Xenopus tropicalis: one gene and its partners. The protein of the gene in region 3 interacts with the protein of the main gene of each other region in a biochemical or structural test. Links are inferred from orthologs where the notes say so. Each region holds a gene or a part of one and is shown on either strand. Other genes may lie near its edges. The genes, in order: thra, carm1, grip1 and pparg.

Region 1 (5,240 bases), on a different chromosome or scaffold from region 3:
TATGGGGAGGATGCAGGAGAGTTTACATCTCATCATCTGTTCCCCTCCCATATTAGGAGCCGCCCAATCATGTTCCACTTGGGCTCTTGGTGGCGGAGGGGCTTGGGGATGACTATGTTGGAATAAACAAGCATCCATTCACGGGTGTATCATAATGGTGCCATAGGAAACAACAAGAACAACAACAACAACAAAAAGGGTAGAAGCGCCTTTTCCTTGGACGTCTTGCGTGCCGCTCAGCCTCCAACCTTTAATCGGGTCAGGTCTGGGGCCAAACAGCTTCTGTTCTTGGGTTTATTGGCTTTACCAAGATGACAGCTGGCAAGCTTCCATATCTCCGTTATCCTGATGTACCACAATGAAAGGTTCCTTTAGCTGTAGCAGGCTTTTCCTATATTGTCTTCTTAGGATATAATGGCCAACCAAGGCAGGGAGGAACAGAAGGGATAAATGCACTTTCCTCTCTACCAACATGCACTGTCCCTCAGACTTCCTGGTCCTCAAAGACCTCAAGGAAGAGCGGTGGAAAGAGCTCAGTGGGGCACTCAACCTTCATGTGCAGAAAGCGGCTGGCATGGCATGCCCCTATCATGCGCAGGTCCGTCACCTTCATTAGGAGCTTGGGCCAGAAGTGGGGAATGTTGTGTTTGCGATGGTTGATGTAGTGTTCAAAGGCGAGAAGGTAGGTCTCTTGACATTTCTCTATCTTGTCCGTGCACATTAAACCAGTACGGTCTGGAAAGTTAAATTTAAAAAAAGTAAAGAGTTGCTAACTAAAATGCAATCAATACAGCCCTGCAACATTCATTAATACCTGTTTTATTTAGAGTGAAACAGTATAAGTTAGATGCTACTTGAAAACATGAAATATTTACCTCTAAAAATACAATGTCGCACTCCTAAAATTACCTGATGACATGAGCAAAACAGCCTGCAGCAGCGCCACTTCCGTGTCGTCAAGGTTGAATGCAGCAAGCGATCTTCCAAGGTCAAAGATGGCATCCGAGACAACACCCAGACCTCCGTTCTTAAGCTGCTCCCTTTTTACCGCCATCTCACCGCTTAGCGTTAGGGTCTCGCTGTCCGGATCGTAGCGCACAGCAGCACGGAGAGACATGATCTCCATACAGCATCCTTTCAACAGGATGATCTGATCTTCACAAGGCAGCTGGTGGGACAGGGGACATATTTTTGAATGTAGAAGAAAGGCACTGATTATAAGGAGCAGGAGGAACCATGATGCAGGGGGAAGGGACCTTTCTAATAACAAGGAGAAAAGGGGAATTTAGCACAGAAATGCATGAAGGTTCCTGAGTGCGCCAAGTAATTGTAAAGGCAGGGCCCACTGGGGAAAACCAAGTGGGCCCTGCCAGTCCAGACCTGTTCCCCAACTGCTGTCCCCCACCGGTTGGGTGAGCAGTGAGTCAGGGGGGGAATAAAATTATACATTATATGTATCTGTGGCAAAGGGGAGACCAACTGGTTGGGTAGAGGTATGAGATCTATTATTCGGAATGCATTGGACCTGGTGTTCTTCAGATTACTGGTCCTTCTTTTACAATGGCATGCCATGTCATACTAACATTTAGAAAACAGGACCAGTTATTAGTTATTAAGTACAATGTAGAAAAGGCAAATGAGTCAAAATGCATTGTTAGTGTAAAGGAAAACTATACTCACAAACAATGTTTGTCTCTATAAATATATATTGCATAAAGTAGCTCTAAATAAACCATTTTCATGAAAATATACTTTTTAGTAGTATGTGATCTCTGAGTGAGTATACAGACCAGCACAAAATGGCAGCTCAAGGGAAAGGATGTAAAAGGGCAATATTTACTGATATATAGTCTAGTTTGGTAGATTCTTTAATGGGCCACACTATCTGTTGGCTAAGTATTCATTCTGAGGGTATAGTCCTTAAAAAGGATCCTGTGGGCAAAGGGAATGCTGAAATCAGGGCCTTTCGGGTTTTTGGATAATAGATCCTATACTGTATGAAGAAAATTGAAAAAGTGAGAGGTATATTGGGTAGGTGTGTGTAGGACATGGAGGCTTTGTTACAGAAATTCAGTGTGTGTATAGTGTGTGGGAATATGTACCTATGTGAATGGCGAGGTCATTCCTTGTAAGGGTAAATGCATGGAACATTTAATGAAAGGGCAGTTGAGGAAGAACACATAATAGATGGCTATCTGGGGCGGAACATTTAATGAAAAGCTGGGTAAGGTGGAACATTCACTGGAGGGCTGAGTGGGGAGGGAGGGCCATTCAGTGAGGGGGGTAGAGTGGTTGGGGAAGAACATTTAGTGGAAGGATAAACTGGAAAGAAATGTCACTGGTGGGGTGGAAAGAGGGTGGGTGAGGAGAAACATGCAGGGGGGGGGGGGGTCGGTAAGGAAGATTCAGTACAAAGGGGGGTAGGCATTTCATGCTTGAAGAAAAAGAGAAAATGAAAAGGTCAAACATGATCAGTGAGGTATAAAAAAGGAAATGCCATCAATAAAGCCATATTCAAACTGTATATGTGGGAAGCGGGACATATACAATCCGTATTCTGAACATTTAGGTACAGGTACTTATATATTATGTGATGTATACGGTCACTTGCTCTTCTGTGTCGCACACTCACCTCAGAGAACATGGGCAGCTTCTTAGCAAAGTCCACCACTCTCGTAATTGCTGGGGTTATTATTTTGGTGAACTCACTGAAAGCCTCCAAGTCAACTTTATCCCCATCTGGCATGGAAGCCATGGGAGACTGCCCGATATCTTCCGGCTGTAACATGGAGAAGGCACAGAGAGAGAGAGAGAGGTGGTGAAGGCAACTACTCAAGAAGTAGTGGAGACTGGGTGAGACAGTACAGAGGGAGAGACAGAGAGCATGGAAGCCAATTATAAGATAGCAAAGGAGAAAGAAAGAATGAATATGAGTGAACACAGAACTTTAAACAAATCAATCTATCTATCATCTATCTATCTATCTATCTATCATCTATCTGTCTATCTATCTTCTATCTCTGTCTGTCTATCTGCCTATCTTTAGACGTATGCAGAACTTTAAACGTTCCAGTAGAGGGTGTTGGTAATCCACATATGATATAATGGGTGGCGGTGGAATAGAAAGCGTGTCTAATCCACGTGACAGGGGGAGGAGAGGGAGACACAGGGGGAGGTAACTTAGGAAGGGAGGGGAGAGTAGAGAGGCGGTTGCTCCCAGTTGCTTCTAACCCTCTCTGGCAAAGCACACATGGCTGCGTCACCCAGAGCCCCGCTTGCAATACTGTGGCCACATAAGTGGGAGGATAAAGGGTTAAAAGCCCCCAGAAAGAAAATGAGTGCCCCGGGTACAGGGTGCCAAATATCAGCAGGACAGGGTGCATACGAAATACACAAAAATGTACCAAAATACAGAACTATAATGGTAGATGCCTGGCAATGAGCGACATGTTGCACCCATAGAAAGTTACCAACATGCACTGCTTCCAACAGGAGGCTAACGGGACTAATGCACCATGTGATGGGAATGCAATGCAGACATAGCCTGAAATATAGATCCATATCCATAGAGACAGCCCTGCATCAGCATAGAATGCTTAGCACATAGATACCAGTAATGTATGAAGAGCCGGGGACCAGAATGCACTGGGGCTGGACATATACAAACGCCTTTATCTTCGCATTTACCGAGGCACACAAACTAGCAAAGATGTCAGATTGTATTTTTATATTAATTTATTTTCCAGGTTATTTCTCCAGCTATTTACAGCGCACAGCGGACAAGGGGCTCGCTAATTGGCGGAGATCAAGGACAAAAAAAGACGAGGGTGCTAGTGGCAAAATAATGTAGAGCGGCACAGAGGTAATTATATCATGGTAGCCATTTATGTAGTACTGTCAGAACCACTGAGGCATTGGGAGGGAATGCATTGCTGCTGATATATGCAGGGAATAGGGAAGGGTAATTAGGAGAATGTACTGAGAGGCGCCATTAACAGCACATAGAGCTAAGTGGGAAAGTGCAGGCTGCACTGCTACATAGAGAGGCACCTGTACCTGAACCATCATAGGCACCAGGGGGGCAGCACATGCTGGGGGACATACAGAACAGGCAGGGCTATACACAGGCACAGGTAACAGAAGGCAGGGCTATACACAGGCACAGGTAACAGAAGGCAGGGCTATACACAGGCACAGGTAACAGAAATCAGGGCTATACACAGGCACAGGTAACAGAAATCAGGGCTATACACAGGCACAGGTAACAGAAGGCAGGGCTATACACAGGCACAGGTAACAGAAGGCAGGGCTATACACAGGCACAGGTAACAGAAATCAGGGCTATACACAGGCACAGGTAACAGAAGGCAGGGCTATACACAGGCACAGGTAACAGAAGGCAGGGCTATACACAGGCACAGGTAACAGAAATCAGGGCTATACACAGGCACAGGTAACAGAAGGCAGGGCTATACACAGGCACAGGTAACAGAAGGCAGGGCTATACACAGGCACAGGTAACAGAAGGCAGGGCTATACACAGGCACAGGTAACAGAAGGCAGGGCTATACACAGGCGCAGGTTATAGAAGGCAGGGCTATACACAGGCACAGGTAACAGAAGGCAGGGCTATACACAGGCGCAGGTAACAGAAGGCAGGGCTATACACAGGCACAGGTTATAGAAGGCAGGGCTATACACAGGCACAGGTTATAGAAGGCAGGGCTATACACAGGCACAGGTTATAGAAAGCAGGGCTATACACAGGCACAGGTAACAGAAGGCAGGGCTATACACAGGCGCAGGTAACAGAAGGCAGGGCTATACACAGGCACAGGTAACAGAAGGCAGGGCTATACACAGGCGCAGGTTATAGAAGGCAGGGCTATACACAGGGAGGGAGATGGGTACCAGATTGTGCTAATATGTACCAAGGAATAGGAACCGCTAAGAACTGAGGGATGAGTAACAAAACGGACTGCTAAGTGCCAAGGAATAGGTTTTATAAATGTACTTCTAAGCACTAAAGCATGGGTACCCGACTGCTAAGTATCAAAATGGAATAATAAGCACTGAGGCTTGGCTACCAGGGCAGGCTGCTATAAACTGAGGAATAGGTACCAGTAATCTACTGCTAAGCACTGAGGGAGGGCCACCCTAATGGAATGCTAAGTGCCAAGGAATGAGCATTAGAAATGTACTACTAAACACTAAAGCTTGGGTGCTACACCGCTAAGTAC
Region 2 (5,240 bases), about 81 Mb from region 3:
TTGTCTCTGGCACGGGAATTAGACACAACAAATATTTTGACAGAGGATTTTCTAGCATTTCTGCGAGTGCTTATGGCTGTATTTACATAGACCTTTGTGATAAAGCTCACTGAGTTTTTACTTCTCCTTTAATGTCTTTCATAATTCTGTCATAGAAGAAATTGACCCCTGTAAATAAAGTGTGTTTGGCCCTACCCAATCCCATGGGATATTTTTATGCCTTAGGTCTTAACCTCTGTGTAATTGATTGGGAAAAGCCTCCAGCTGCCTAGTGTAGAGAGACTGGTATAAAAATATACCATGGGATTGGGTAGGGCCATGGGGATTGGGTATCTCAGCCCCTCCGGCTCAGTTTCCTGGGGGTGCGGCTCACAGTGGGTTCTTCCAGGAACATTTCTGAATTGCGTACCGTCGAGGCTGGCCCTGATGGAGTTAGAGAGCTGCCCTGGTCAAAAACTGACCTATGCAGCAAAAGCATGGCCACTAACTTGCTGATGTCTGCTCATTTCAGGCTAATGGTTGATGTTCTCACACAGAGCCAATCTGATTGGAGGAGCTCAGAGGTAGATAAAGCCTCTGTTACAGTAGGCGATAACATGGCTAAGATCCTTACTGCTTTACCAGGGAGGGGGGGGGTCTGAGACCCCCAAGAACAAGTATTTTCAGTCGTCTGCCAGGACCATTAACAATCACAGATGACGATCAATTAAGCTGCTTGGGATAGGTCATCTATAACATAGTAATTTCCCCTTTATGACAAGCGCAATTTTACCCGACGACAGAGAAACAAAATCAGACTTTTTTCCAAAAAAAATCCCTCCCAACTTTATTGAACACTACAGGCAAAGGGGAGAACAGCAGTTGTGTTAGAAACGGTTTCCTATTCGTCCTGAGACGTCCCAGCCCCCCCCCCACCCCCACCAACCAACCAACTCTGAAAACCCATCTTACAACTACAATCTGCCGCCCCACGCGGGACAGACGAGACACAAATAATAATAAACGGACAGAGTACAAATAACGAGGGATCCTGCGAGACGACAAATTCCCTGGAAAAAAGAGAAATAAAATACTAAAAAGTAGCAAATGAGTAGACACTAAGCAGCAGGGGGCGGGGCTTCAGGGGGACAAGGCTAGTTTACAGGCACAAGGCTATACTATGGGGGTCTAAGCAGGAGGGAGGGGGGGGGGCGACAAGCAATTTTTATAGAAGAAAGAAAAACGCTAAAAAGGACGGACACTTGGGCCATCTCGATGCATTCCGACCATGCGCTAACAACGTCGCGGCGAGGGCAGAGGTAGGAAGAAGGAAAAGGCCAAAATAACGGAACCTGTTGCACGGAAAGTCGGACACAGTCCAAGTAGAGGGACGGGGGGGGGGGGGGATAAAGCAAATTCACATTTCAATAGGGGTTTTGGCTTTAATAAACAATCATCCTAACCCTTCGTACAACACCGACCACATGACTGTCGCTCCCGTACGGGGCAGAGAGAGTCTCTGTTACCCCGGGGCGGGCAGGGGGGGTTGGACCAACGGCTTATTTCATCTACCCCAGAATAGTTAGTGTTTCGTGACACAATGAAAGTAGCGCAGGGTTGGCTTCCAGCTAATTCTAACGACTTCATTGCAGCAATTCATTCTGTCGCCTTCCAAAAAGAAGAAAATATATAAAGAAGCGTTGGTCATGAGTCGGAACCGGTGAAACAACCGGAGAGTCGGGATCACCCTATTCCTGCAATGGTGCCCACTGCTTAAAGGGCCGGCTCCCTCTCCTTGCCCTATAACCCCCCCCCCCCCCCCCCCACAACAACAACCTTCAAGCCTGTCTTTTCCCAATAGGCAACCATGATACTAATTCACAGCAATGGCTCTAAGGCGGCACAGAGGGAGGAGGCCCCACGTGCTAGGCGCGGCAGTTTGAGAAGCAACACATGATTGGTTTAAATTTCTCCGTAACGTACAAGCGTCAAGATTAAACCCCGCCCCCTCAATTTGCTATTTTTGTTCCTTTTTTTTTCCATAAAGTGAGGGGGTGGGGTACTATATTTCATTAAAAAATGTACAAGTCCATATTGAGAAAGCAAGAGGATTTGCTCAGGCAGAAGAGGAGGGGGCAGGTGTGGAGGTGAGGGGGGGGGGCAAAGGTGTCGGCAGTTTTGGCCGAGGGGGAGGAGGGGAAGGAAGGGCAGAGAGGTTGCTCTGCGATCATTTGGTATCCTGATGCTGTCAGTTTGAGGAGGACAAGGGAGCAGGGAGGAAGGTGAGACTGAGCAAGCTTTAACTCCCATAATGCATTGTGTTGGTGGTGATAGACATGGGAGAAGCCATGGAGATAGCGGGGCCTCCCATGGTGAACTGGTTGTTGACAGGGTAGTGGCTGGTGGTGTTGGAGGCGGCCTGGCCCCCCGCGGATCCTACAATAGAATAAAGAGAAGCCCATAAATACCACTCGCTGTATTATATACCCCCCCCATACAGTCAGAGGGCCGGCTCACCTTGCACTATCCCCGTGCTCATGATGGATCCCATCCTGGAGTGAGTGTGATTGACAATCCCCGTGTTTGCTGGAAGGGAACACAGGAGGGTTCAGCCACACACAATATACGGAATAGATTCATGGAAAGAAACGGAAATATGAGGTTTGAAGCTGAATTAGTACAAGCACTGGCCCCCCCCATTCCCAGCATGCCCTGCGGGGGGAGCCCTACTGGAGTCTTCCTAGAGGGCAGTCTGGCTCACGAGAGCAACTGGGATTTCCCTTTATCTGTGCTCCTATAGAGAATTAAAGGACAACCTAAGCTGCCACTGGCTTTTACTGAAAGCGCTTGATGGTAATTGGCCAATTCAGCCAAAGGACTGAGGCGACTGTGCCAGCAGGCGTTACAACCAGTGTGGCCGCAGCCTAAGCCAATAATAATACAATAAATGGCGAAGCATTCCCCAAACGGGACTTGGCGCGAGAAATCCCTTTAGGGGTGAAATAATAAAAAAAGGAATGGTATGAAGAATGGAATGGATTAAAGGGTAAGTGCCACTGAGTGAGTTAGAGCTAAAAGCCCGTGATACACAGGGCAGTGGCACAGAGCCCGTGTCCCAGACACACACGCTACCCCCTTGGCACAAAGCTTGCACTTTACATACATGACAGTTAAGGAGGTTGGTTAGTGAATCCCTGGCAAAAGGTGTGATTGGTTAGCAAACCCAGTGGGTTTGGTTTTGAAGGAAACACGAGCTTATGGTATTACTGGAGGATCCGAGTGTCAGGTCTTGGGGCTCCGGGTGCAGCGGCGCGGGAGGGCAGGACACTGCAGGCTGCTCACCTAGAGGGATGAGGTTACTGTGGCTGATGCCTGAGCTTCCAGCTATAACACTGCTGAGATCATAGGCGTTGGGCATTCCTGCAGGGAGGCAAGCACAAGCACATTGTAATGAGGAATAAGTCCATTCATGATTTCATTAAACCCCGCTTCCACCCCCACCCCCCCCGGGCCAAACTACCACGTAGATCCATGGGTCCCTAACTACATTAAAAGCGTGATAGGGCCCCCTCATCTAATGGTTTATTCCAGTCATTCCACCCAATAGCAGACCGAGGCCTATTCACATAGCACTCAGGGGGGCCTTTGTTTTAGCCCTATACAGGGACCCTTCAGCTGCCAAGTCATCCCACCTACGCCCAGCTTTACTCTTCATCTAATGTTTCACCCAGAGCTCATTTGGCTCAAGAGTGACCGAGGGGTTAACACACAGGAGAAATTCACAATACAGGTCTATATATAAGTGGAAACCCATAGCAACCAATAAGAATTTAGATTTTTACATAGCCAGATTTCCAAAGGATCCCACTCAAAGGTGCCACTCATGGATGGTGGAATGGAACGGATACGACCGATTGGCCGACACTATGGCAGGAGTGTGGCCTTGTCTTACCAGCCGAATTGGTAACAATACTGCAAATCCCCAATTAGAGAAAATTTCTGATTGGTTGCTATGGGTTTCTGTCCCATCATAAGTCATCTCTGTGAAATCCCCAATATCCCAACCACTAATGGGAAGATCTGTCGGTCACAATCCGCAGAAGAGCAGGCTGATTGGCCACCTCATTCTCATACCCCGGGGTGCACCCCAGAAGAGCAGAAGCTGCACCCCACTTACCTCCCATGCCCATTCCTGTGTTCATTGAGTATGCCCCTGACGTATTCCACATGTTCTCTGAAGGGGAGGAATAGTGGGAGCCGGGGGGAGGAGACGGCGTGGAGCCCGTGTACCTGAAAGAGACATACCCCGTGTGGGCTGTGGGGGGCGATGTAGAGTAGGTCCAGCCTGAGCTGTGCCAGGAAGGGAGAAGGGCACCTACCTGAAGAAGGGGTTCTTCAGATCCAGCAGGTTACTTGACTTGGACCCAGTCTGATCCACCTGAGCAACAATACTGATATCATAACTCTGCCTGCAAGAGACACAATGGTGAGGGGAAGGTAAAGCTGAAAGTGCAGGAGAACCAATCAGGAGAGCAGCTCGCTCCTACCTCTTGTTGGCAATGAGCAGCGCGGTGCCGGTCAAGGTGTCCCCGGCTTTGGTGAATAACGGCGACTGTAAGAGACAGCGGACCTGGTACCAGTGAGTGAGAGGCTCGGTCGGGGCTGTCGACAGCCAGACGGTCATTCTATGAGATGAAAAAGGGAGAAGATGTGACGTCGGGCAGGCAAAGCCCGGACCCTTGCACTGTGGGATTATGGGGGGGGGGGGGGGCTCCCTCAACAGGACCCCCTGACACTCACATGGATCCGATAAAGGCCACGTCAAACCAGAAAGCTAAACCGTGCACCAAGCCGGAGTGCAGCATGTGGAAGGAGAAAGGGATCTCTATCCTGCGCAGGGAAGAGAAGTTGGTCAGCACTTGTATCAGCCAATCAATGGCAAGCACCCTGCCAGCTCCGCCCCCTACCTGTGCAGATCGGCCTCTTTGGCATCAAGGAAATTCACTGTGTACTTGACTGATTTGGCCATGAGGATCCGGATATCGAAGGTGTCCTGTGAGAGGGTGGGGAGAAGGTTTATACCAGCGAGAGACAGTAGGGCAGCGCTCACACGAGAGACACACCCCGGCCCTGGGACCTACCACGACTGGCTGCTTGAAATACTCGTCCACCGCTGCCCCGCGCAGAGCTGAGAGATCCACTCCATGAAACGATGGCTGGTACCTGGGGGGAGACAGCAATGATGCACAAACCTGCTAGTG
Region 3 (3,931 bases):
CTCTGGTACGGACATGATTCACCTACAGAAATACAAAGTGAGAAGAATGGTTTGCAGTGAGTTGCTAGCATGCATCATTCTTCCTGTAATATAAAAGGGTGGTTCACCTTTAAGTTAACTATGTTATAGAATGTCCTATTTGTAGCAGCTTTTAAGCTTGTCTACATGTTTTATAGGTTTGTTTGTTTTTTTTTATTTACCTCTTCTGACTCTTTTCAGTTTTCAAATGGGGGGCACTGACCCTTCAGCCAAACAAAACTATTGCTCTGTGAGGCTACAATTTTATTATTACTTTTAATTCTATTCAGGCCTCTCCTATTTATACTCCAGTCTCTCATTCAAACCACTGCCTAGTCCCTAGTTTAATGTGGACCCTAGAAAAGCATTTTTTATTTATTTTTATTTAATTTGTGTTTGTTGAATTATTATTTTCTTAGAATATTGCTCTCTACATCATACTAAATTTTAAATTAAAGGTGAACAACTCCATTAATGTACAAAATACCACTTCTTAAAAATCACTGTCTTCCACCATTCCTATGTCCCTAGAATTCTATCCCACCTACTTCAATGCTTGATATTTGGATTGGATTTTCTTGTACTAATGTGAGAGAGTCTGTGTAGTATATGGAAATTTTAGCTCAAAACTGTATGAAGTTATGTAAACGCCCCTTCATTTCTTTTTAAAGGAGAAGGAAAGGCTAAACCATTGGGGGGTTCCAAACGTTGGGCACCCCCAGTGATTGTAATCACTTACCTTATACCCCGGCCCGGGTTGGTGCCCCTGTTAGGAGAAACCACACCAGCCCAGGGGTAGCTGCAAGCGAGTGTTTCCTCTTCCTTCTGAATCTCGGGGCTGGCACATGTGCAGTAGAGTGTAGAAGATGGCTTTTTTTTGTTAATATTCACCTTTTCACTCTACTGTGCAAGTGCGCAAAGACAGAAGAAGGAAGAGGAGACACTCACTCACAGGTACCCCAGGCTGGTGCTGGTTTCTTCTCACAGGGGCACCAGCCCAGGGTAAAAGGTAAGTTATTAAATTCACTGGGGGGTGCCTAAAATTTTGGCACCCCCCAGTGACTTTGCCTTTCCTTCTCCTTTGAGGGCTCTTACACACAGGCCTTGTGTTTATGTGTTTGACACATAGGTTTGAGCGCACCTAAGTGATTCCATTATATTTTGCCTGGTTGCACTCCTGAGGGTTCAGAGTTGCATTTTATGGCTTTCATTGTGTGTGATTTTTTTTTAGATGACACATGCTGCATGTGTAGGAGCCCTTAAAGAGCATTGGGTCCAATGAAGAATATGTATCCAAGTCATTGTGCCAGCTAATTAGTAGTACCAGAGAGAAACGTATCCGTACATATGGCTCACCTGCAAGAGACGATCATATGGCTTTAGCCCCGCAATATCCCCTGGCCCATTAGGACGTATATTTTTCACATAGACTCCTTTCTCCAGTAAGCCATCGGCAACACTAAAACCAAAGTCTTCCCTATCCGAATCCTTAAATAAAGAGACCTGCAATAAATACAGATTAGGTTTGTAACTAAAGAGTGTGCATTACAGTTGTGTAAATAAATGTACATGATATGATGCCTCTAATATAAGGGGAGGGGGTAATTATTAATTAATGAAACCCAACAGCACTATTCTTACAACTATCTGGTTACTTTTCCTTTCTTATATATATATATATATACCCAGTGGGCACCTTGGGGAATAGGTGACTCTAGAAAAACATTGTCCCTTTAACAATTCTGGGCTCTGCTTTACAAGTCTCTCTGTTTAGTTTCTGTATCTGCATGATTCTCCTTCTCTTGGCTTAAACAAACTAACTGAAGTTATGTCCCATGTGCCCCCCCCCTTAAGTCACTGATTGATACTGACTGCTAACAGCAGTAAAGGAGGAAGTAGTGTTCTGGCCATTATGTTAGACACCTGCTCACTCCAGCCTTTATAGATTACAGTTTTGCCTAACTAACTCTATTGAAAACAATTTTAATTTGGCGCAGTCTATCTATTTTACTCAGTTTCATTTTTACACTGAACTATTCATTTAACCCATCTCTGCTGCCAGAAACTAAAATGCGCTGGCTACATACATTCTATTTCTACTTATTTCTAGGATTTTGCCCTCTCTTTCTGCTTTCCTATACCTTTGCCTCCAGGATCTAGCTCTCCATGCATTTTACATCCCTACTTCCAGGGTGCAGCTCTCTGGTTACCCCAATCGTTACCCCCAACCCCAGGATCTAGGTCTTTCAGCTCACTCCATCTTTGCCCACAGGATCTAGAACTTTCTTTACCAGCAGGGTCTAGCTCTCTTGGGCCATAATTTTAACTACATAAATTAGTGTTTTTGCTTTTGTTATAATTGTTGTTTTGTTATATTGTTAAGTTGTTTCCTTTTACAGATTTTGCAGCTACAGGACTGCTCAACTGCACGACACAAAAAACACAAATACAAAACATAATTATTTAATTTGTGGTTTTAGAGGTTTCAATGTTCATTTCCGTTTGGTCCACCACGTTTCATGGAAAAACATAAAAACCACAACAAATTTGTTGTTTTTGTGTTCTTTTCATTCTGCATTTTAATTCAATCATGCTCTTTCAATTTGGATATGACTAGACATTCAAAAACCTCTAAAACCAAAATCAGAATGTTAATAAAATCTTCCCCATTAGGTTGGTCTAACTCAGTGATGCTAAACAAGTGGCTTGTGCAGGTGCTCATTTTTGAATTCTGGGCTTGGAGACATATTTTGGAGGCATAAAGACACAAGTACACTGCCAAAATCAGGCCCCAGTAGCCTAGCAGTTTATATGTGACTACTAAATAGCCAATCACTGCCCCTAGAAAATGTTTTTTTGCTTGTGTGACTCTCCAACACTTTTTACATTTGAATGTGACTCGCTGGTCCAACTAATCACAATAAGTGATATATAGATGATTTGTTTTTAGCAAAAGATAGAGAGTTTTGGATTTCATTGTTTGCTACGTTGCTGCTATTTCCACAATTTCCAATGACTTGATGGGTACAAACTTGGGCTGAAATAGCAAAGATTAATTGTGTGTGCTTGTTGCAATTTGCAGCCATTGGCATACATGTACATCACTTGTATTTGTGAGTAAATCAAATCTGTAGGGGAAACCAATAGTGTGTTTTACCAGGGCACCACCACATGTTAAAATATTTCAGTTTGAGAATGGCTTCCCAGGTCATTTGTTAGGTTCTTATATCATACAACAATTGTAAGTTTGATCGTAAGTACAATTGTAAATGTAAATTGGGCCATCGTCTGTTTTGAGCTCTAAATAATTATGAAAATGTCCTTTCAGCCAATCCTGGCAATTCAATTGTATGAGGTTATTGGCCTTCTTGGGTCTCGATGGCAATCTGGTTTTTGACCAATACTAAAAAAACAGGTAAATGCATAAAAGGCACACGTGTGGCCAAACTGGACATCGCCCTACTTGGTTAGATATCAGTTCATGCTGCAAACTGTGTGCATGTGGCCAAGTGGCACAATGATGAGGAATTCTATTTCAAATGAACTATATACATAAATCCAGTATCTGCTTATAAAAAAACTTTTTGTACTTGCCTTGTGTAACTCCACAGGAGTTGGTGACATGATGTCTTTTATTTCTTGTTTAATTTTTCTCATGGAAACCGATTTCCTTCCTACATCAGATGGCAGTGTGTTGCTGCGTATGGATTGGCTGTAATGCGGCCTGCCGGAGCTTTTTTCTTGGAAACTTGCTTGTCGCCCTAGCTGCCCACGAGGCTGGGAGTTCTCATGATTCAAGCTCAGTGTGCTTCCTGACATGATTGTCGCCTGCAGCAAAATAAGGTCCTGATTAAGCCCTCGCTTTATCAACTGACAGCTAGAAAATTTGTAAATGACAATGCAAGGAAAGCAG
Region 4 (5,731 bases), on a different chromosome or scaffold from region 3:
CCTACTGTCTCCATCTTGCCCTACTGTCTCCATCTTGCCCTACTGTCTCCATCTTGCCCTTACTGTCTCCATCTTGCCCTACTGTCTCCATCTTGCCCTACTGTCTCCATCTTGCCCTACTGTCTCCATCTTGCCCTTACTGTCTCCATCTTGCCCTACCGTCTCCATCTTGCCCTACCGTCTCCATCTTGCCCTACCGTCTCCATCTTGCCCTACCGTCTCCATCTTGCCCTACCGTCTCCATCTTGCCCTACCGTCTCCATCTTGCCCTACCGTCCCCATCTTGTCCTACCGTCTCCATCTTGCCCTACCGTCTCCATCTTGCCCTACCGTCTCCATCTTGCCCTACTGTCTCCATCTTGCCCTACTGTCCCCATCTTGCCCTACTGTCTCCATCTTGCCCTACTGTCCCCATCTTGCCCTACTGTCTCCATCTTGCCCTACTGTCTCCATCTTGTCCTACTGTCCCCATCTTGCCCTACTGTCTCCATCTTGCCCTACTGTCCCCATCTTGCCCTACTGTCTCCATCTTGCCCTACTGTCTCCATCTTGCCCTACTGTCTCCATCTTGCCCTACTGTCTCCATCTTGCCCTACTGTCTCCATCTTGGCCTACTGTCTCCATCTTGCCCTACTGTCTCCATCTTGCCCTACTGTCTCCTTCTTGCCCTACTGTCTCCATCTTGCCCTACTGTCTCCATCGTGCCCTACTGTCCCCATCTTGCCCTACTGTCTCCATCTTGTCCTACTGTCTCCATCTTGCCCTACTGTCTCCATCTTGCCCTACTGTCCCCATCTTGCCCTACTGTCTCCATCTTGCCCTACTGTCCCTATCTTGCCCTACTGTCTCCATCTTGCCCTACTGTCTCCATCTTGCCCTACTGTCCCCATCTTGCCCTACTGTCTCCATCTTGCCCTACTGTCTCCATCTTGCCCTACTGTCTCCTTCTTGTCCTACTGTCTCCATCGTGCCCTACTGTCCCCATCTTGCCCTACTGTCTCCATCTTGTCCTACTGTCCCCATCTTGCCCTACTGTCTCCATCGTGCCCTACTGTCCCCATCTTGCCCTACTTTCCCCATCTTGCCCTACTGTCCCCATCTTGCCCTACTGTCTCCATCTTGTCCTACTGTCCCCATCTTGCCCTACTGTCTCCATCGTGCCCTACTGTCCCCATCTTGCCCTACTTTCCCCATCTTGCCCTACTGTCTCCATCTTGCCCTACTGTCTCCATCTTGTCCTACTGAGAGGGAGGCTCTGGGTGTCTAAGGACAAACAAACAACCCCCACTAGAGACTGCTTTGGGGCATTTCACACTATTGACCACAACAGTCACAGCTATGAACTTGCATTGATCCCAGCACCCACACACAAACTCCCTGCACCCATACACACAAACTCCCTGCACCCACACACAAACTCCCTGCACCCATACACACAAACTCCCTGCACCCACACACAAACTCCCTGCACCCACACACAAACTCCCTGCACCCATACACACAAACTCCCTGCACCCACACACAAACTCCCTGCACCCATACACACAAACTCCCTGCACCCACACACAAACTCCCTGCACCCACACACAATCTCCCAGCACCCACACACAAACTCCCTGCACCCACACACAATCTCCCTGCACCCACACACAAACTCCCTGCACCCACACACAAACTCCCAGCACCCACACACAAACTCCCTGCACCCACACACAAAACTCCCTGCACCCACACACAATCTCCCTGCACCCACACACAATCTCCCTGCACCCACACACAATCTCCCTGCACCCACACACACACACACAAACTCCCAGCACCCACAAAAACTCCCAGCACCCACACACAATCTCCCTGCACACACAATCTCCCTGCACCCACACACAAACTCCCAGCACCCACACACAAACTCCCTGCACCCACACACAAACTCCCAGCACCCACACACAAACTCCCAGCACCCACACGGGAAGTGTATTGGCACCTTCAGGGCAAGTGCTTTCCAGGAACCAGTTAATTCCACCAGTCTGTTCCTTCTGTCTGGCCCTGGGGGCAGAAACTGCACAACATTGGGTGCATTATTGGCAATTGCCCCTCAGAGGTGGGTATGAAAGCTACAGGGCACAGTGGGCACTCTGCCGCCAGTCATTTGCCAGTATCTGCCCCTGCCCTGCCCTCGCTGTGCCACATTCCCCCCAGGAATCATACAGAGCAACAGCACAATGGCAGCTCCTGCAATCGATAGACCGGGGAACTGGCCCCCTCAGTAGAACACTCTGCAGCCCATATCACCCCCCGAAACTGCACCTCTGTATCAATCAGTACCCCATATTGATACCCCATATTAATCTGTACCCCCGCTGTACGCCCCCGGGACCAACCTTATACTGTATGCTATCTGCACCCAGCAGCACCCAGCAGCACCCCAGCACCCAGATCTACCAGCAGCAATACAGCTATATCAGCCATTACCCCAATACTGTACCCAGATATCCATCAGAACCCCAACATGTCCATTAGCCTCCTAATACTGATCCCCTAATACCAACACAACTATATTAGCCAGCGCCCCAACAGCACCACATCCTTATTGACCAGTACCCCTGTATGTCACACCCCAATACTATCCTATGGTACCACAACTGTATCACCCTGATACCCCAATACTGTCACACTGACACCCCAGTACTAATTCCACCAACAGCAAAACTACATCACACACTCCCATAGTATCACAATGACACCCCAATACTATCACACTGACACCCTGATACTATCACACTGGCACCCCAATACTATCACACTGGCACCCCAATACTATCACACTGACACCCTGATACTATCACACTGGCACCCCATTAGTATCACACTGATACCCCAGTAGTATCACAATGACACCCCAATACTATCACTGACACCCCAGTAGTATCACTCTGATACCCCAATACTGAAACTTGTTATAACATTGATACAAATACAATAGAGTGTGGCTGAGACCTAGCAGCACCCCAATACAAACGCACCCCATCCCAAGCCGCTGCAGGCTACAATGGCTTAAGGTCTGAACCAGAGAGAGAGAGCGGTCTCCCGACTCACCTGACTCCCCGATCCCCCGACTCCTCCCCCGGACTGTCACAAAGTGCCCTCTGGTAGTTATGATCCCAAGGTGCTCAGTCTGCCATGTGCCAGCTCTGCCGGGAGGCGGATCCAGTCAGGGACACAATTATCCTGCGGGGCCGCAATGCCAGTGGTGCCCAAGTGCCAGCCCTGTCCTGGGAGCAGTCTCCGGGGGTTTGTGCAGTCTCCGGGGGTTTGTGCAGTCTCCGGGGGTTTGTGCAGTCTCTGGACCAGAGTAAAAAGCAGTCACTGTGTCGGTTCTGCAGGGAGTAGTTGCAGGGAGTAGTTGCAGGGAGTAGTTGCAGGGAGTAGTTGGTTCTGCAGGGAGTAGTTGGTTCTGCAGGGAGTAGTTAGTTGCAGGGAGTAGTTGGTTCTGCAGGGAGTAGTTGGTTCTGCAGGGAGTAGTTGGTGTTGCAGGGAGTAGTTGGTGTTGCAGGGAGTAGTTGGTGTTGCAGGGAGTAGTTAGTTGCAGGGAGTAGTTAGTTGCAGGGAGTAGTTGGTGCCGCTGTTACTACTCGTTTAGAGCTCAGATCGCTCTGTCTCACTTCTCTCACTGTCTCTTACTCTCACTCACTCGGTCACGCCCCTCTGCCTCCCTTGGCTCCTCCCACTGTCTCTGCTCTTCTCCTGCCCAGATCTCCTCTGGCTCCTCAGCTCCTCACTCCCAGTCTCCCACCCGTATCCCCCATAGTGCTGCCCCCCATCTACTGAGCCCCGACACCCCTCATTGGAACTGCTTTATTGTCTATTGCCCACTGAATGGGACCGTGATTCAGGCGCCCCACCTACCGGCCACTTCTAGTACTGCGCTTCACTCGCTCATTCTCAATTGGAGCGACTGGAATCTTCCTGCTGATACTTTATTGGGATCCAATAGGAACAGTGAGACTGGTACTGACTGGCACCTATACTGGTATTATACTGACTGGCACCTATACTGGTATTATACTGACTGGCACCTATACTGGTATTATACTGACTGGCACCTATACTGGTATTATACCGACTGGCACCTATACTGGTATTATACCGACTGGCACCTATACTGGTATTATACTGACTGGCACCTATACTGGTATTATACCGACTGGCACCTATACTGGTATTATACCGACTGGCACCTATACTGGTATTATACTGACTGGCACCTATACTGGTATTATACCGACTGGCACCTATACTGGTATTATACCGACTGGCACCTATACTGGTATTATACTGACTGGCACCTATACTGGTATTATACTGACTGGCACCTATACTGGTATACCGACTGGCACCTATACTGGTATTATACCGACTGGCACCTATACTGGTATTATACTGACTGGCACCTATACTGGTATTATACTGACTGGCACCTATACTGGTATTATACTGACTGGTATTTACTGACTGACACCTATACTGGTATTATACTGACTGGTATTTACTGACTGGCACCTATACTGGTATTATACTGACTGGCACCTATACTGGTATTATACCGACTGGCACCTATACTGGTATTATACTGACTGGTATTTACTGACTGGCACCTATACTGGTATTATACTGACTGGTATTTACTGACTGGCACCTATACTGGTATTATATCGACTGGCACCTATACTGGTATTATACTGACTGGCACCTATACTGGTATTTACTGACTGGCACCTATACTGGTATTATACTGACTGGTATTTACTGACTGGCACCTATACTGGTATTATATCGACTGGCACCTATACTGGTATTATACTGACTGGCACCTATACTGGTATTATACCGACTGGCACCTATACTGGTATTATACTGACTGGTATTTACTGACTGGCACCTATACTGGTATTATACTGACTGGTATTTACTGACTGGCACCTATACTGGTATTATATCGACTGGCACCTATACTGGTATTATACTGACTGGCACCTATACTGGTATTATACTGACTGGCACCTATACTGGTATACCGACTGGCACCTATACTGGTATTATACCGACTGGCACCTATACTGGTATTATACTGACTGGCACCTATACTGGTATTATACTGACTGGCACCTATACTGGTATTATACTGACTGGTATTTACTGACTGGCACCTATACTGGTATTATACTGACTGGTATTTACTGACTGGCACCTATACTGGTATTATATCGACTGGCACCTATACTGGTATTATACTGACTGGCACCTATACTGGTATTTACTGACTGGCACCTATACTGGTATTATACCGACTGGCACCTATACTGGTATTATACTGACTGGCACCTATACTGGTATTTACTGACTGGCACCTATACTGGTATTATACCGACTGGCACCTATACTGGTATTATACCGACTGGCACCTATACTGGTATTATACCGACTGGCACCTATACTGGTATTATACCAACTGGCACCTATACTGGTATTATACTGACTGGCACCTATACTGGTATTATACCGGCTGGCACCTATACTGGTATTATACCGACTGGCATCTATACTGGTATTATACCGACTGGCACCTATACTGGTATTATACCGACTGGCACCTATACTGGTATTATACTGACTGGCACCTATACTGGTATTATACCGACTGGCACCTATACTGGTATTATACTGACTGGCA

Evidence for each region.
Region 1: the proteins of grip1 (region 3) and thra form a complex in vitro, tested with the Homo sapiens proteins (2 studies listed by BioGRID). The link is inferred for Xenopus tropicalis from reciprocal best matches to the Homo sapiens genes GRIP1 and THRA.
Region 2: the proteins of grip1 (region 3) and carm1 form a complex in vitro, tested with the Homo sapiens proteins (2 studies listed by BioGRID). The link is inferred for Xenopus tropicalis from reciprocal best matches to the Homo sapiens genes GRIP1 and CARM1.
Region 4: the proteins of grip1 (region 3) and pparg form a complex in vitro, tested with the Homo sapiens proteins (2 studies listed by BioGRID). The link is inferred for Xenopus tropicalis from reciprocal best matches to the Homo sapiens genes GRIP1 and PPARG.

What each region holds. Positions count from the first base shown.
Region 1 is NC_030686.2:9,067,535-9,072,774, forward strand, and holds part of thra (thyroid hormone receptor alpha), read right to left. Parts: intron 2,780-5,240; coding exon 2,633-2,779; intron 1,169-2,632; coding exon 910-1,168; intron 736-909; coding exon 485-735; 3' UTR 1-484.
Region 2 is NC_030679.2:138,870,119-138,875,358, reverse strand, and holds the end of carm1 (histone-arginine methyltransferase CARM1), read right to left. Parts: intron 5,203-5,240; coding exon 5,121-5,202; intron 5,033-5,120; coding exon 4,947-5,032; intron 4,870-4,946; coding exon 4,780-4,869; intron 4,665-4,779; coding exon 4,527-4,664; intron 4,449-4,526; coding exon 4,359-4,448; intron 4,270-4,358; coding exon 4,157-4,269; intron 3,400-4,156; coding exon 3,247-3,399; intron 2,566-3,246; coding exon 2,497-2,565; intron 2,416-2,496; coding exon 2,279-2,415; 3' UTR 811-2,278; downstream 1-810. UniProt on the Homo sapiens protein: Methylates (mono- and asymmetric dimethylation) the guanidino nitrogens of arginyl residues in several proteins involved in DNA packaging, transcription regulation, pre-mRNA splicing, and mRNA stability.
Region 3 is NC_030679.2:58,084,862-58,088,792, forward strand, and holds part of grip1 (glutamate receptor-interacting protein 1), read right to left. Parts: intron 3,847-3,931; coding exon 3,613-3,846; intron 1,522-3,612; coding exon 1,375-1,521; intron 23-1,374; coding exon 1-22. UniProt on the Homo sapiens protein: May play a role as a localized scaffold for the assembly of a multiprotein signaling complex and as mediator of the trafficking of its binding partners at specific subcellular location in neurons.
Region 4 is NC_030680.2:153,299,218-153,304,948, reverse strand, and holds the start of pparg (peroxisome proliferator-activated receptor gamma), read right to left. Parts: upstream 3,663-5,731; 5' UTR 3,097-3,662; intron 1-3,096. UniProt on the Homo sapiens protein: Nuclear receptor that binds peroxisome proliferators such as hypolipidemic drugs and fatty acids.